4 linked regions of the Drosophila melanogaster genome follow. The main gene of each other region encodes a partner of the protein of the gene in region 3 in a complex. Each region holds a gene or a part of one and is shown on either strand. Other genes may lie near its edges. The genes, in order: MED31, MED26, MED7 and MED18.

Region 1 (3,990 bases), 6.1 Mb from region 3:
GCCTCTTGAATTCATTCAGCAGCCTAGAGTTGACCGCGGACATTCCTTGATTTCCGGCTCCGCTGCTCACAATGCGGCGACTCCTGCTCCTGGAGCGGCTGCGACCGCGTCCCTGTGGCGGCTGCTTTGACTGCATCTGCGTAAAGCGCTCGTTTAAGGAGATTCCAGTGTTCATGATTGTTGCGGCTTTGCTTTTATAAATTGATCCTTATAATGTATGTTTTCACTGTTCTCCGCTTGACTCTTGGACGATCGAGTGGGTGTTTCTGCGCCGAAAACCGGTTTGCAACTGTAATGGAAAGCAAAAATGTAATGAGTTTTGTAGGCAGTCAGGTACGCCAGGACGACCCCCGGACAGGTAGTGCCAGCTGACACCCATAAACGCTAAGCTCAGACAGTTCTTTAAAATATACCAATAAATCTGCAGCTGTTCCTATGTGGAAAAGCCAACCGTTGGCTTTACCCCTTATGCACCCCCGTAAATAAAGCCGTGGTCATAGTTACAACACTAAACATTTTAATATTACCTATGAATTTTCCCACTTAAGAACATTGATTCATTTCACATGTATATAGGAAGATGTTTAGGAGTAAAGATCACTTTAGTCAAGAGTCGCGACTATGAGATACCCAGCACTCAGCGAAGACATTTATTTGATACGTTTCTAATAATCCTATTTTAACTATTATGACAATTGTATGGAACTACAGTGTTATATGCCAATTTGGGCGTTGTAGATCGTGGTCAGATCGACCAGGCCATTGGTCCGGATCGAAGAAACATTTACATTATAGGGTCGGAATCACTTTTTATACCAGTTACACACTGTACACTTTTCACTCTATAATACTGTTTTAGGTAATGGTCTATTTATCTCGAATTTAGATGTACGAATTAGTGTGGCAAACCAATCGATCAATTAAAATTGCGACTGTGGCTTGCCTAAGCGGACACAAAAGAGACTTACATTCGTAATTACATTGAAATGATTCAGAAGCCTATCAAGAAACAATCTTTGGTTCTATTTGGACGGCAGCTGTGCTGTGCTGTATAGATACATATGCACATATGTACATATGTGTACATCTGTATGCATCTGTATATGTATATACATTTCGGAGTTGTATTCAAGCAGAGCACACTGTAATCTAATAATAGATTCTTCGCCAACATGAATTTTTTGTGGATGATGATTAACCCGTCGAAATCGGGGAAATAGTTGGATATACATATATAATGTTTCATATGCACTTAAATTACATAATTTTGTTAATACTTACATTTCTGAATTGTGCGTCGCTGCTTCGCTTGTTCCTCAGCACAAAAATAGGTGCGGGGGCGTTCTGTCCACAGATAGAAATTAGTTTCACTCGTTGATTTCTCGTTTATTTAGCCTAAACTACGACTTTTTCAGTGGCTTGGTTCCGATTAGATATGTTTTACAGACGAAATTCAAGTTTTTCCTCGCTGCTTTTCAGGCTGACAAAAAAATCAGGCATTGTTCTCCACAGCGTTCGTCGTAGGCTTGTGAAAATACCGAATTAAATGCGCATCACATTAGGGGTAGTGAAATAAATACTGAAGGCTACACACAATTGTTAATTACATATTATAATTAAAAATTGTCAATGTTCTGGTCGGAATTTTATATTTTAATATAAATTTTAATTGTTTTATTATGATTATTTGTAGATACCATTGATCGCTGTACTTCTTGATACATACGCTCAGATTTGTTTAAACTTACTCTGGTATTAAAGATTTTTGTTGGTTAAAACAACCCTAATTCTAATTTTTAACACAGAAACATTTTCAAGAATACCGTTAGCACACACCAAGTAAAATATACGGAAAAGCAGTATTTTACGAAAAAAAAATCGTATTCGGATGAGCTTGCAGCCCTGGCGGGGACAGAAGTAGGGTTGTCGCCGGCCATCAACAATCCAAATGAACTCCTACGGTTTGTAGACAATATTAAAAACTGAATTTAACTGCCTTCCCACAAGAAATCACCAACACAAAGGGAGCGACAACCCACCGCCTGCGCCCAGAAACCTGGTCGACTGTTTTCCCGAGTTTTCTTTTGGCCCACAACCTGCGTTTGCTCTGTGCAGTCACTGCCGCGCCATACATTTTATTTCATTAGCGAAGCCCATATATATTTATAATTTTACTTGTGTGTTTTGTTTGCCGCGACGTTTCGTTTTCAATTCGATGGTGCACCAAAACACACAGCTCAGAACATCCACATAGCACACTGAAAGAAACCAAGAACCCAACCCGACACCGAAACTGAATAGACGCAAGTACCGACCCAACGAGACCCTTTCCAAAGCCAAAGACCAGTCCAAAATGGCCAAAATGTACGGAAAGGGTAAGAGTAAGTACACGCCAATCCACACCCATTTTCGCATTGTAATCTAACACCTACTGACACCGCTTGGCATGCCGAATCCTCAGAGATCTACCAAAAGTGGTGCTAATTTCTCAGGGACTAATGCTCTCCAATTTCTTCCGTAGCTGCTATCGAGTCGGAGGAGCTGCAGAAGCGACGCTGGCAGATCGAGCTGGAGTTCGTGCAGTGCCTGTCGAACCCCAACTATCTAAACTGTAAGAATAATATTACCTCGACCTACCTAATATTCACTTATTCACCATCTTGCGCGTATATCTAAATAAACAATTACAACGCCTTGTGCCAGTCCTTGCACAGCGTGGATTTTTCAAGGACCAGTCGTTCATCAACTACCTGAAGTATCTGCAGTACTGGAAGGAGCCGGACTATGCGAAATACCTCATGTACCCAATGTGCCTCTACTTCCTCGATCTGCTGCAGTACGAACACTTCCGCCGGGAGATCGTCAACTCGCAGTGCTGCAAGTTCATAGACGACCAGGCCATTCTGCAGTGGCAGCACTACACTCGCAAGCGCATCAAACTGATCGAAAACGTTACGGCCGCCCAGCAGCAACAACAGCAGCTTCAGCAGCAACAACAGCAGGCGAACGGCATGGAGGCAGCAACGGGAGGCGAATCAGCAGCACCTACCCCCAACGTGAACGGGTCAGCTTCCACGGCGGATAGTCAACAGACGTCTTCTGCCCTACAGCCTGTCCAAGCACAGCCTGGAAATCCCCAGCAGCAGCAGCAAATCAATGGCGTGGCATCGGGGGCCAACATAAAACTAGAGTTAAACTAGCGCTGGCAACTAAAAGTTTACCAATAAAATAGTATAAGAACCTGGAACAAGTTATTTTGCATTCCATTTATTATCTTCCTTTTTGGCTGAGAAACAGCTACCACTTAACACACCTTATTTTCTTAGCTATTTTAGCCAAACTAAAATTCTAAAATAATTTTATTTCTTTTTTTATTTTAGAAAATCTTGAAAACCTCATCTCATTGCTTTAGTTAGGGTGTCGCCTCCTTTGTCGTTGGTTTTTGGTTGCAGACACAAAGCAAGTTTCATTAATCTATCTGTTGGTGAATTCACAGACCCACAGGACACAGCTTCTCAACAGGAGGAATCCGTCGCGCTGAAGGGCCACTTCTACGGCGTCTATTTGCTATGCAGTCAGAGCTTGGATCCTCGCTACCGGGGAAAATGCTACGTGGGCTTCACCGTGAACCCCAAACGGCGGATACGCCAACACAATCTTGGTTGTGATTTCGGTGGCGCGAGGAAAACCAGTCGCAAAGGGCCGTGGCTGATGGTAATGATCGTGCACGGATTCCCGAATAATACAGTGGCACTCCAGTTTGAATGGGCTTGGCAACAGCCGTCGCTTTCAACTAGGCTTAAAATGTACCCTGAATTAAAACGAAAACTGCCCAGGGAGACGTTCTTTGACTACAACTTTAGGATCCTTAGTAATATGCTGGGGGTTGGCCCTTGGAATAGATTACCGCTCACCGTTCGCTGGCTAGAAACGGATTACGAGAGGCCATTCAGCAAGGCACTGCCTAAACACATGGAAATTGTGAGTGGC
Region 2 (5,071 bases), on a different chromosome or scaffold from region 3:
AAATTCAAAAGTGTTGGCAAACGATGTTATTGCAATTTAAAATATAAAATTTTTGAAAAAGTACACTTTTTGATTATCGAACTTTTTTGAAAATTCAGATCTCAAAGACTGGACGTGGACAAAAAAAAACTAATTGGTGGGCACACGATTCCAGCTTTCAAATTTCGAAAATTCCATTTTTCCGAACCCAGCTTCTTTGAGCTTCTGCAAGGATAGACACAAAGACAAATACAATTGAATCATACCCGAATCTGTTGTCAGAGCGGCCTGTTGAAACCCGTCGCTGGCTTTTGCACCAAATCTTGTATTTGTTGCGACCTGTCCTTCTCTTTCCTTACTTCTTTTTTCCTTTTTTAATTTGCGTTGCCGTGAGCTTGGTGTAGATGGTATTGGAAGTGGCGCAGGAACAATTGAGTTTAATTTTTTTGGATTTAACGAACCGTTATTGTCATTCTCATCGGAATCCGAAGCTATGTCAATAACAACTGAAGCTTCGTTTATCTTCACGGTGCTGTCATCGGTCAAGTTAATCACGGAATTTACCGAATGATCTATGACGATGGGCTGAGGAGAGGCCACGTGGCAACTTCGGATGGAATGCGAATGTCGCCGATCCTTGTGAGTATGCAATGTCGTTATAGCGATGTTTTCGTGGCGATCGCTATCTTTTATACTATTTACAAGGTTGGAGAAGTTCGGATGAAGTAGGGTATGTTCACCCGAAAGCGGAGGCTCCGCAGAGTCGATATTTGAATGCAAATCTGAAACTATTTGCTGCGAAGGAGCAATTGGTTCTGTAATAAAGCTGGTGATAGGGGACTTAACCAAATCTAATGCTGGTTGTGAAGATGAAATTTGACTGGGATGTGCCAAATTTTCAGTGGCTGTTTGCTGAATTCCTACCATTTCCCGCCACTTTTTCAGCAAGGATTTTGCACGTCGAGCCAAATGTTCATTCTTAGTCCTTCTTCTGAGCTGATTTATGTACTTAGCCAATCTGGTGGCCTCCAACTGCTCCTTGGTGATAGTTGTACCCTCCAATGCACATATGACACAGAGAACTGCGTCCATATTGACGACCTGAAAAGATCTTTACATTAACTGATTTGTTGATAAGGTAATACGTTTTCTTACATCGTAGTTTTGATCAAGTGCCTGGGATAGGTGAGTAGTAAGTTCCTGTATTTCGATTTGGTTCATTTATATCTTGCGGTGCGTAAATATTGCCCTGATCCAGATTCAAGGGACGGCGAAATGCAAATACTGTCCAAGTTAGAAAAATAAGGAAAGTAATAGAAAAGTAAGTAGTAGGTAGAAAGTAAAAAGTTATAGTGTATTCACTTCACGTTGTTGCAAAATAAATACTATTATAAATAGCCGTAAAATTGCTATTAAGTAAAGTTTAAAGACCCAGAAGTTCAAAAATTTTAATACCCGAGTTAGTAGCGTGTCTGTGAAACACTCATACCAATACAAAACGTGTATTGCTCAATCGTTATGCTTACAAATATGCACACTTCGAATGTAAAGTCTGTGCTTCCTGAGCGCACTTCCTTGAATATGAAAATTTGTATTTGTCCAAAATAAGGAAAATTAATAATTTATGGTTGACTTCCCGACTTTATTACAATTCGCCATTTTTACCAATGACAGCTGCACTTCAAGGGTGGCAGAAAATCGATAAGTATTTAACAATTATTATCGATATACTTTCACGTGAATTTCTTTTAACAGGAAGGCCTGATCATACTGCTATCAAACAGAATTGAAGAGGAATTGTATTATATGTGACATGAAAACCTATAGGAGTATTATATAAAGTAAACGTCCATTTTTGGGCTAAATGCGTGAATCTCAAAATGAAAAAAGGGTCAAATATACCAGACCAGAAAATGAAGGTTTTGTTGCTTTGTGGTTTGGATATTTTCCCGTTGTCCTATATATTTTGTAAAATATAAAACGATTTCGTAGATTCTCCGTCCAGTTACCCGCTTTACTTAATATGGAGAATATTAAAATATTGTTTGTTTTTTTACCCTTAACTTATTTTATTCGGACTAGCAATGCCGTTTTTTTTTTGTTAAGGATATATAAAGATTCTTAAACTCTTTCATTTCAATGCGAAATATTTGAAAAAAGTGTGTATATATAGGATTTGTACAAAACAAATGCTCTCGGTGTTCTTCAAAAACAAAAAACAAACAAATGGCTTACAATTACCAAACCCCATAACTTGGGTTAAGGGATCATCTCACAATTGAAAAAAAGTAAACTATAGTACTATCCTTCAGCACCAAAATCGAGTATATATTTTTTTCTTATTGCAAAACCTTTGGAAGCCTTTTGTATATAAGAATATATTTTACATTTAATAAGCAACAGAAAAAGAATATGTTTAATTTTTTATATTCACATTTTACCACAGCGGCTTTTTTTTTAATATGTTCTATAATATTATTCTTATTCTGAACCTCGAGCAGAAGAGATTTTATTGACCTTCCCGTCTAAGAACTGAGCTACCCCATGCTTATACTGTGTTTCCGTGTTTGACAAAAACCAAAACTGACTGTGTCCATATATATAGTGTAATTGGAATATAAACGGTTAGTAGTACTAAATTAGGAAGAATGCTTGTCCGATCCGTTCACACTGGTAACGTTAGAATACCGGAGAAAAACTATTATTACTTAAAATGCTAATTAAGTTTAAAAAACATTTTTGTATTTCAGTACAATAATAAAAAATTTAATCATCTCCGCTAGTGAGCAAAATTCAAATATAACGACAGTGACTCTTCTGCATATAAACTTGAGATTTGCAAAAATATAGATGCATCAACTTCATAAATTCACACTTGGCTGGTTTGTCGCTCTTACCGAAATATCCTGATATATTCCTTTTGCACATACATAAATATACTTATATTATATGTCGTTTTTAATACATACCCCCACATTAATCACACTGCACATGGTCTATTCAAAGCCATATAAATAACAAGATGCGTAACGGCCATACCAAAGACACTAGAATAACAAGATGCGTAACGGCCATACATTGGTTTGGCACTATGCAGCCACTTTTTTGGTGACGGCCAAAATTGCTCTCTTTCCGCTCGCTCACGCTGAGAACATAAGAAATCTAAAAATAGAATTTGCTTGCTTGTGTGAGTAAAAACAAGAGACGGGAACGCGTATATGTGTGGGTGTTGTGCTAGAAGACGATTTTCGGGCCGAAATCAATTCTGATCAAAGAAATGAATTTACATTGTACATATTAGGGTAGTTTTTTGCCAATTTCGTAGCAATATGATGAAATAAAATAATTTTTAAAAATTCGCGCCCTTCTTATTATAATTTTAAAATTTTAATTTTAATTTTAAAATTTTTTAATTTTAAAGCTTTTTAAATTCGTTTGTTAAAATCGCCGCTCGAATTAGCTACCGTTTACATATTTATATTTATGTTGATAATTATTTATGTGTAATATGTGTAATAGTCGGTACCCAGGGAACACTACGGGGAGGCCATTACAATTGTAATGGGGTCTTATATTTACGTATATGACCTTCGAGTCGACTTGAAATATTTTAATGTTTAACATTAAAACATTTCCATATTCCCCAATTAAGTTATTTTTCTAACTATTGTTTTTTATTATATATTGCTCGATTTTTCAGTCGTCAGTTATTTAAATAACGCTCATTTTTTTTATTCATGAGATAGAATGCTGAGCTTAGCTTGCTTTTTTTGTCTATCAGCTATCACAGTCCACTTACAATGCTTAAAAAGCAAAACTTTTATAAGTTTGTTTAAAAGATCTGTTCTATGTGCATAACATTCATTATTTTCATAAAACCATAATGGGAAGGCACTACTTTCATTTGTGCACTTAATGCATTGCTCAACAATAAATTTTTTTATACACATTTGTTTTTTATTATTTTTAAAAATATTTTCGAAAGCTTTAATGTGTATTTTGTAAATATTAAAAAATAAATCAGATGGTGCCCTTAATTTCCCGAAGTCCGATTCTATTGAGTAGTTTTTCTCATGTATAAAAAGCTCTGATGGAGCTGTTAAATGCTCGGTTTCTTTTAAAATTACCGATCTGCATTTATCGCAACTGGATCCCTTAGCAATATATCCAACAAAATATCTACTGGAAGTTAATTCAATGGGTACATCATTGCACAAAAAGTTATCTATATTTTGGTCAAAGTACCTCTCATTGTCTTGCACGATTTTGGAAAATGATACAGAGTATTCTTGTTGCTGTATTTCTTTTTTTTCAACGAAAGGCTGATATATTATCGAATCGAACTCTATTGGCAACATAACATCATCATCTGATTCGCAATTCGACTTTTGTGAAAATTTAAAAATGTGTAGAGATATGAGCTTGGCAATTATTATATTAAATTCGTTAACTGAAGGATTTCTGCAGTTACCACCTTTTGCTCGAACGCACGCAAATATATTTTCAAGGGGATCCTGGTTAACTCTACTAGTTAAAAAGAAAAAGTGGTCTGTGTGATCCTTAAAGAGATCTTCGACGAGTCCAAATATAGCTTCAGTAGTTTGGATCAAGCCATCAACACAATATATTTTATTCCCGTGATATTTAACGCTCTTTAGGTATTCCTGCATTTCCTTTAGTTTGTTCCAAACTCCATTGTTAACTTGGAGCGCGCATTTCATGGGGTTTTTGTCAGTTAATACTCTGCTATTCAGGCAATCAAAGTAATCATTATCTTTTTGGACAAATGCAGCCGTAGAAGCTGCAACTTCGGAACTATTTCGATGTAATTGCTTGTTTTGGTTACAAGTCTTAATTGCCGCTGCAACAGTGTGGCTAAGTGTTTGAGTTGCCAAACATACGCGCATTAGCTCAAATCTGGTTGGATTAACGTGACTCCTTGTTAATTTAGTCATTCTCGTTACTGATCCATGATCTAATTCGTAAACCTCTCGAATGACATCAAAGTCAACTAGTCCGTCAGGGGTTTCAAAATTAGCTCTTAGAAAATTATTCCTTACAGACTTGAAAAGATGCGGAATGTCATAAAACA
Region 3 (3,551 bases):
ACAATCTAAGAAAGCTAATAAACGTATTAAACCATGTTTATTTAGAAAAACACGTTGGATTTTGTAAAGGGCACAGTGAGTTAAAAAAATTTTAGGGAAAACATTATACTCCAGTTGTGAATGAATATCTCTATTGACTTTTTAATCATGTTTATCAAACAAAATTAGTAATTTTGATGAAACTCCATACAAATTCATTAAAACCACATATGTATATGTACATTATGAAACGCACTGTACGAGCATATTTCGGCTAGCCACGATGATGCCATGCGGTAGCACCCATTAAAAGTAGGAAAACGTGTGAGGTGTTCATGTCTCATGTCATGTCACATGTCTTTACAATTTTTACAATTAAATATATACATTTATATTGTTATTCCTATCCTGAATAAATTGTTCTAGATAGATTATTAATTTATGACATTTGACTATATTATTACTCCACGCTGACTACGTCATTTTAATGGTGAAATTTGTGGGATGCTTAATCATGAGCCTTTATCTCGGATCTTATCTGTGTAAAGCTTATCTCAAAGATGACTTAACACATTAATTCCCATTGAATGAATTACTCATTAGACGTGCAAGATTCTCATCCCACAATTGGGGTTTTATTTCTTATACTAAAAGGAGTTATAAATATGAGGAGCTCTTTTTTCCAAGCCATTCACAATGATTGACACTATTTCCAGCGTCGATGTCCAGTCTTTTGCCAACTCAGCTTACTCGATAGCGTCCACAAGCTTGCACAACATGCGATCGTGCTGGTAACTGGGATCATTCTTGGCCGCCGCATTCGCCTCCAACGGATCCACCTCCGTCTTAATCTTTGCTCCGCCGCTATCGTCGTCATCATCTAGAACCGGCAGAGCTGAGAAGGCGGTATTAACGATCTCGCGCACACGTTCCAAGTGCTTTTGGAAACGGGCGGCGGTCTCAACGCGCTGCCGCTTCTGCATTTCCATCATGACGCGCAGCGTTTCCCTCGCCTGATGTGGGCGAAATTCATTGAGGAGGTGATGCATGTTGACGAACAGCAGACTGATATCGTCAATCTAAGATATCAAATGAGTGTAATACAATAGATGCTACATTTTAATGGGTCAATTGACTCACCTTTTCCGTGCGCCGCGGGCTGTCAGGATTCAGGATAAGAAAGTCAATGAGATCTAGGAAGTTGACCAAGAGGGAGTGGTTAAGCTTCTTGAGCTCCTTGCGCCGATCGAAATGGATGGGGATCAGTCGCTTAATATTCTGGGACTCCAAGCTGCGGATCATCTCGTCGTTGTTGTACTGGATGCCAAACATGCTATAGACTTCGTGCTGCGCCGGCGGCGGCGGTGGGCGTGGCGCTCGGTTGCGGCGGATATTCTCGTCCGTGTAATTGGCGATGTACCGCTCCGGCGGCATCGGCAGGCTGGAAACCTGGGTCTCCTGGTTGGACATTATGAGATTAACAAGTGCGGAAATACAAAAATAATAAATGATTTTTGTTTTGAAGAAGTGATGGCACCTGAGACAGGCGAATCACTCACGATAGTGATGACACTATCACTCAAATTGTTTTCTTAAAAATGAGCACACTAGAGGTTTGAAGCTAGACAATGCAATAATAAGCAGAATTTATTATAATATGTTTTGAGACACTGACAAATAATTTACAATTACAAAAATTAAATTAGATATTAATCGAGCTCGAAATAATAAATGATTCACCGTGCCTAGCTATCGATAACTTAAAGGTGACCATGCTTGCATGCACCCCCTACAGCATTGCCATAGCAATTTTTCTCCGTCTCTTCCCTCATTCGTCGGTAGAGCACAACAAAATAAGAAACACATATATATCTTGATGTGAATAGCTAATTGTTCCAGCACCGATTCGCGCCAATATTCCTGTTCCTGCCAAAGAAATGAAAACAAAACGTAAAACCATAACATAACTGGACCCAACTAAGAGACAAGCCGTGCTGCCTCCACCATTTTGATTTCCCCACTCAGCGTGTGTGCGTGCTTGCAGTGCTTGTGCACGATGCCAGTAAAATGTGCAAAACCGGACATAAAACAAACTTTTCCTAGTGTCATCTAGTGAGCCATGGAGCGGATTTTGCCTGAAGAAGCGGAAGCGGGTAAGCATCCAGAACTTAGGTAACCAACGCAGGACAGCCCCAGGCGTGATCTTCGTTTCCCATTGATTAAGTCAGCGCTATTTCCAGTATACCGCGTGTGTTGGTGCTTCTATGCGAGTGTGTGTGTGTGTGTATGGGGAGGGCCGAAATAAACAATAAAGCGGATCTGCGATTGGGTGTGTGGTTTTTGCTTAAGTAAATCCAATCGGTTTCTATTTAATTCACAGCCTACTTGAGCGAAGCGCGGGAGCAGATATTGGAAATAGCCAAGAATCGGCCGGGAACCCAAGTGGCCAAGTGCATCCGCGCCTACGATGAGCAACAGGACCTGGCCTCGCTAGTCGTCCTCCTCGAAGAGCTCTCCAAAAACACGGACTACTCCACGGACCTACGGATATCACTGGGATATGTGAGTGTTGAAGACCACTATTATCAAGATAAGCAAAACCGCCGAAGAGCAGAAAGATCAAAATAAAAGTGTGACGCAACGTGCGTGGGTTTTACAGTCATGCCTCGATAACTGGTATTTTAACTAAAATTATATAAATGGGTTTTCAAGAAAATCTATTATTTTATTTACAGTGAACACAAAAGCCTGCAGATCCTCAAATACATTGCTTATATTTTCAGTATATTGAAGAGCTACTGCGCCACTGCTTAGGACGAAATGATGTCTCTCGAAGATCGGCCATCGTGGCCGCAGGAAGTGCCCTCCAGTACTGCGGCAAGATCTATGGAGACCGAGTGGAGTACCTGTGCCAGGTGGTGGAGCACCAGATCGAAGCCCTGCTCACATCGGAGTTGCAGAAGGAGACCCCTAGCGGAAGTGCTGCGTAAGTTTAACTCAGAACTGAAGAGTTAAGAAGATGGAGAAAGACAAGGCCACGTGCTCCCCACTTGTCGCCATTGCTGGCTCTTTTCGGTCCAGAATTCCGCTTATCGAGCTTCACTTTACGCCCCCTTCGGCTTTGTTTGCATTAATATCACAGAAGCCGGCTTGCCGTTAATGGACGATAGGGCACGTTCTCGTGCTTCCAAAAACAAATAACAAACAGAGTATATAAAGAAATGAGAAATTAACCAGACAAGTGAAGCTAAAAACGTAGACAGTTCATTCATAAAAATAACAAGTTATTCAGAGATAGATCACATCCTAAATAAATATTTTTACATTATAATTCACTTAAATTCTTTCTTATCAGCCGGCATTAAAGAATTTGGGGAGATTATTTGACCTAAATGTTGAAAGTCTAATTAATTTTAAAGATAGCACCAGTATTTTGATTAAACATAAGATGATTTCATTATAATATTTAAGTTACATAATAATCAGTCCTTTAAAAAAAAGAAATCTTATCCTCTTTTAATCTGCATTTAGCGATATAATAATTGTTTTCCTTTCATATTTACAGACCGGAG
Region 4 (3,366 bases), on a different chromosome or scaffold from region 3:
TCATCTGGCTTGGGCTTCTTTTTTTTAGCGGTGGTTACCGCTGTTGCTTGAATATTCCTGGGCCTCAGAGGAGCCTGTTTACCGCCACTACCACTGGAGCGCTTTAGAGTGCGGATCACATCTGGTGTCTGCCAAGACTTGCCGTACAATTGATTGAGCAGCTTTTCTGCGTGGGTGAGAAACTGCTCATCCTCGGATGCATCATCCACAGACAGCATGGATTTTTGGTGGCTCTGAGGGTCCTGCTGCTGGTGCTCTTGGTGCTGCACCTCCTCCGAGCTGGGCAGGGACTTAGTGGCCCTGGGCGAAGAGTAATGCTCATCGTCGTCTTCCGCCGAACTTGACTCCATAGTGGGAATGCTGATTTTAATGTTGATCTTCGCTGAAATATTAATACTGCTGACCTGGATAGAACCGTGTTCGTCCCCTCCCGATGTGGAGGAACCAGAGCTGGCCTTTTGCGGCGTGAGCTCGCCCTCGCTGCTGGTTTCCGGTATTTCAATGGATTCATCAGGAACGGGCTCATTGTTGTGAATCGTCGAGTTATGGGTCTCAGAACTATCAGAACACAGGGTGTTGGGCTCGGTGTCATTGTCTGCTAAACGCTTGCTGCTGTATGTGGGCTCAAGCTCCTCCGATCCGAGAGTATTCGCCTCCGTTTCGTCGTCTGCCAACCGCTTGCTGCTATCCAATCGAGTGGCATCTGCTGAGCAGATGGTATTCACCTGCGTATCGTTGTTCGCCAGTTGTGTGCTGTTGTAAATCGGCCTGGTAGTGGGTGGCTGCCAGTCCTCGTCGGTGGGCGACATGGATTCGGTGTCCGCATCGGCTAGACGGGATTGCCGCTGGCTGGAAGAGAGGGGGGGCGGTGTCAATGGGCCATTCCACTCCATCTCGCGTCGCTCTATGGACACATCGCGCAGAAAAGCCTCGATGCGCTGCACTTTTTCGGTTGTGAGCATGGGCTGTGGTATGTCTTCCTGGCCGGGATTAGCCACAATTTCCCGTTCACTCACAGCCATGCTATCGGGAGGCAAGGGTTCTTGCTCATCCTCGCTAGAATCGGATATGGTGATACAGGAGGCGGCGTCGTCGTCGCCGGATACGTTCTCTTCCGTAGTGGAGGAAATGCAAATGGAGATCTCCGGCTTGGCCGAGTGCTCCTCATTTATGGGCTGCACTTTCAAATTGCTGATGCCAGCGGACAGGAGCTCTACATCGCCCACATTTGCCACATCCTGGCTGCAGCCGTCGGCGCTCAGCTGCAAGGCTTCCATGTAGTCGGAATTGTCGAGTTCTGTGTCCTCCGTATTTGCCCCGCAGGACGGAGCGGGTGCTCCCACATTGGCGCGCATGGGAGCTGCTGGCAGTTTCCTTGTTTTCTGGTCGTTCCTCTTTTCTGGATGATCCTTCGGCGCATGGGACACCTGGAGTCGTTTTTTGTGGGAGGATAGCGTCAAATTGGCGAACTTTTGATTGAAGGGAACTTTTACTTTGCTCGGGTCGACCGCATTGAAGAGCCTATACTTATGATCCGCCATTTTGGGGGCGTCGTTGGGGCATTTACGGTAAATCAATCTCTATGAATATGCTTTAAGCAAAATTCGTATTTGCTATTATTCTGTGCGCGTCGATTTACGTTCATCGTTATCGATAGACTATTTGATTTTCCGGCATCTAGCTAGTGCTGTTCGAAAATGTCTAAAACGGCATCACTAGTAAAACGAATTCTTCCAAGGAAATGAAACTAAAAACAAAACCAAACTACTGCTCAGTTAATTTAATACCATAGTACACCCAAACTTACAAAATTAGCCAATGGCGATTGTGTCGTCGGCCCGTGAGTCGCTCTCCCATGCGATGAACAACCGCTTCTTGCCCAACCTGGAGTACTTGCTGCAGGGATCTATCCTGGATTCCGCCGTGGAACACTTGATGCACAGGTGGGAGACCCAGTGTCAGATTTGAATCGTTTGCACCCGACTAACAGTCTAACCGCCTACCCACTATCAGACTAAAGGGACTCTGCGACAATGTGGACACCTCGCCGGAGCCGTTTCACGATCTGGAAGTGTGTATGAGCCTTCGCCAGCCCAATGCCAACCAGCCGCTGCTTCTTCGCGTGCGCCGAGCCCTTGGTCGCGATGCACCCTTTCAGATGCGCTACCTAGGAAACCCCGAGGTGGATCTGCGCCGGCCTACATTGGTACGCAGCTGCATGGACTGCGCCTGCACCAATGGCATTTTGGAATTCCTCACGGAAATGGGCTTCCGCCTGGAGTTCGAGTACATAGCAAAGGGTTGGAATCATGAAATATATTACGCTTGGGTTGCCAAAATGGATAGTGACAAATGGACTTATTTCAGGCTATATGTTCCGCAAGGGGCGCATGAAGATTACCGTCTCCAAGCTCATTAAGATTGTGCCCGGCAAGCAGCAGGACATGGCCAACGAGCCAATCTCACAAAGCTACATAGTGGAACTCTCTGTGGTGGCGCCAACGGGGCAGGAGAATGTCGGCGAGGAAATGCGCGTGTTTGCCGAGCAACTAAAGCCACTCGTGCAGCTCGAGAAGATCGACTACAAGCGACTGGGCGGCATGCCGTAGTTTACAATAAAAGTGCACATCGCATTTATCCAACAGTTATTTAATTTCTTAAATGTAAGAAAATATACAAATTTACAGAAAAGAACCGAGAGGGAATGATTACACTGCCAGAGTAAAAAATATCTCAAATTCAACCTTACACACCCACATGACACGACAACAACGGACTTTCCCAAAGCAGTGATAAAGAAGCTGCGGGGCGGTTAATCCTTAAAGGCCTCATTAAGAGCCGCCAGATTGCGATCGCTCACATAACTCTGGAGATCGCTGCGGCCCATCAGCGAAATGACCATCTTCAGCGTACTCCAAATAGACTCGGACATCTGGTTCTGTCCTCTAAAGGTAGCCGCCATCGCCGCATTGGGCAGCTCTCGGGCGGCGTTAGTGTGAGCCTGCATGGTAAGCGCTGTGAGTAAGTGCTCCACAGCTTCCTTGTAGGCCTTAAGGTTCATGCAACATACGCCCACGTTGTAACGCACACGGATGAAGCCCGGTTGGAGCTGCAGCGCCTGCTGATAAGCCTCCACCGCCTCCACGGAGCGCGAGCCGTTGGCCAAACTGGCCCCCAATCGGTTCCATGTCTTCGCATTTTGGGGATCCACCTGCAGAGCGGACTGGTAGCAGTCCACCGCCTTGTCGAACTCCCCAGATAGATTGTAGAGCACGCCGAGGGCATCCTGGACTTCGGCATCCACCTCCGAAGGGTGCTGTCGAACGGCTTCCAAGTAGATCTGCTGCAGATCGCGCAGCTTACTCG

What was found.
Region 1: MED7 (region 3) and MED31 share a complex: the UniProt entries of both Drosophila melanogaster proteins name them as parts of the mediator complex.
Region 2: MED7 (region 3) and MED26 share a complex: the UniProt entries of both Drosophila melanogaster proteins name them as parts of the mediator complex.
Region 4: MED7 (region 3) and MED18 share a complex: the UniProt entries of both Drosophila melanogaster proteins name them as parts of the mediator complex.

The regions. Positions count from the first base shown.
Region 1 is NT_033777.3:4,640,048-4,644,037, forward strand, and holds MED31 (mediator complex subunit 31), read left to right. Parts: upstream 1-1,915; 5' UTR 1,916-1,948; coding exon of another isoform or gene 1,949-1,961; exon of another isoform or gene 1,962-2,236; 5' UTR 2,237-2,353; coding exon 2,354-2,381; intron 2,382-2,521; coding exon 2,522-2,611; intron 2,612-2,703; coding exon 2,704-3,200; 3' UTR 3,201-3,245; downstream 3,246-3,990. Other genes in the region: CG9775 (uncharacterized protein), read right to left, coding at 1-175; nuclease slx1, read left to right, coding at 1,949-1,961, 3,497-3,990. UniProt on the Drosophila melanogaster protein: Component of the Mediator complex, a coactivator involved in the regulated transcription of nearly all RNA polymerase II-dependent genes.
Region 2 is NC_004353.4:785,947-791,017, forward strand, and holds the start of MED26 (mediator complex subunit 26), read right to left. Parts: upstream 3,033-5,071; 5' UTR 2,949-3,032; intron 1,669-2,948; exon of another isoform or gene 1,506-1,668; intron 1,264-1,505; 5' UTR 1,201-1,263; coding exon 1,135-1,200; intron 1,081-1,134; coding exon 246-1,080; intron 1-245. UniProt on the Drosophila melanogaster protein: Component of the Mediator complex, a coactivator involved in the regulated transcription of nearly all RNA polymerase II-dependent genes.
Region 3 is NT_033777.3:10,759,485-10,763,035, forward strand, and holds MED7 (mediator complex subunit 7), read right to left. Parts: upstream 1,549-3,551; 5' UTR 1,450-1,548; coding exon 1,120-1,449; intron 1,059-1,119; coding exon 726-1,058; 3' UTR 587-725; downstream 1-586. Other genes in the region: Cap-H2 (chromosome associated protein H2), read left to right, coding at 2,099-2,132, 2,360-2,541, 2,763-2,965, 3,545-3,551. UniProt on the Drosophila melanogaster protein: Component of the Mediator complex, a coactivator involved in the regulated transcription of nearly all RNA polymerase II-dependent genes.
Region 4 is NC_004354.4:1,864,196-1,867,561, forward strand, and holds MED18 (mediator complex subunit 18), read left to right. Parts: upstream 1-1,713; 5' UTR 1,714-1,818; coding exon 1,819-1,943; intron 1,944-1,990; coding exon of another isoform or gene 1,991-2,013; coding exon 2,014-2,300; intron 2,301-2,367; coding exon 2,368-2,609; 3' UTR 2,610-2,692; downstream 2,693-3,366. Other genes in the region: Gcna (germ cell nuclear acidic peptidase), read right to left, coding at 1-1,541; Pex5 (peroxin 5), read right to left, coding at 2,813-3,366. UniProt on the Drosophila melanogaster protein: Component of the Mediator complex, a coactivator involved in the regulated transcription of nearly all RNA polymerase II-dependent genes.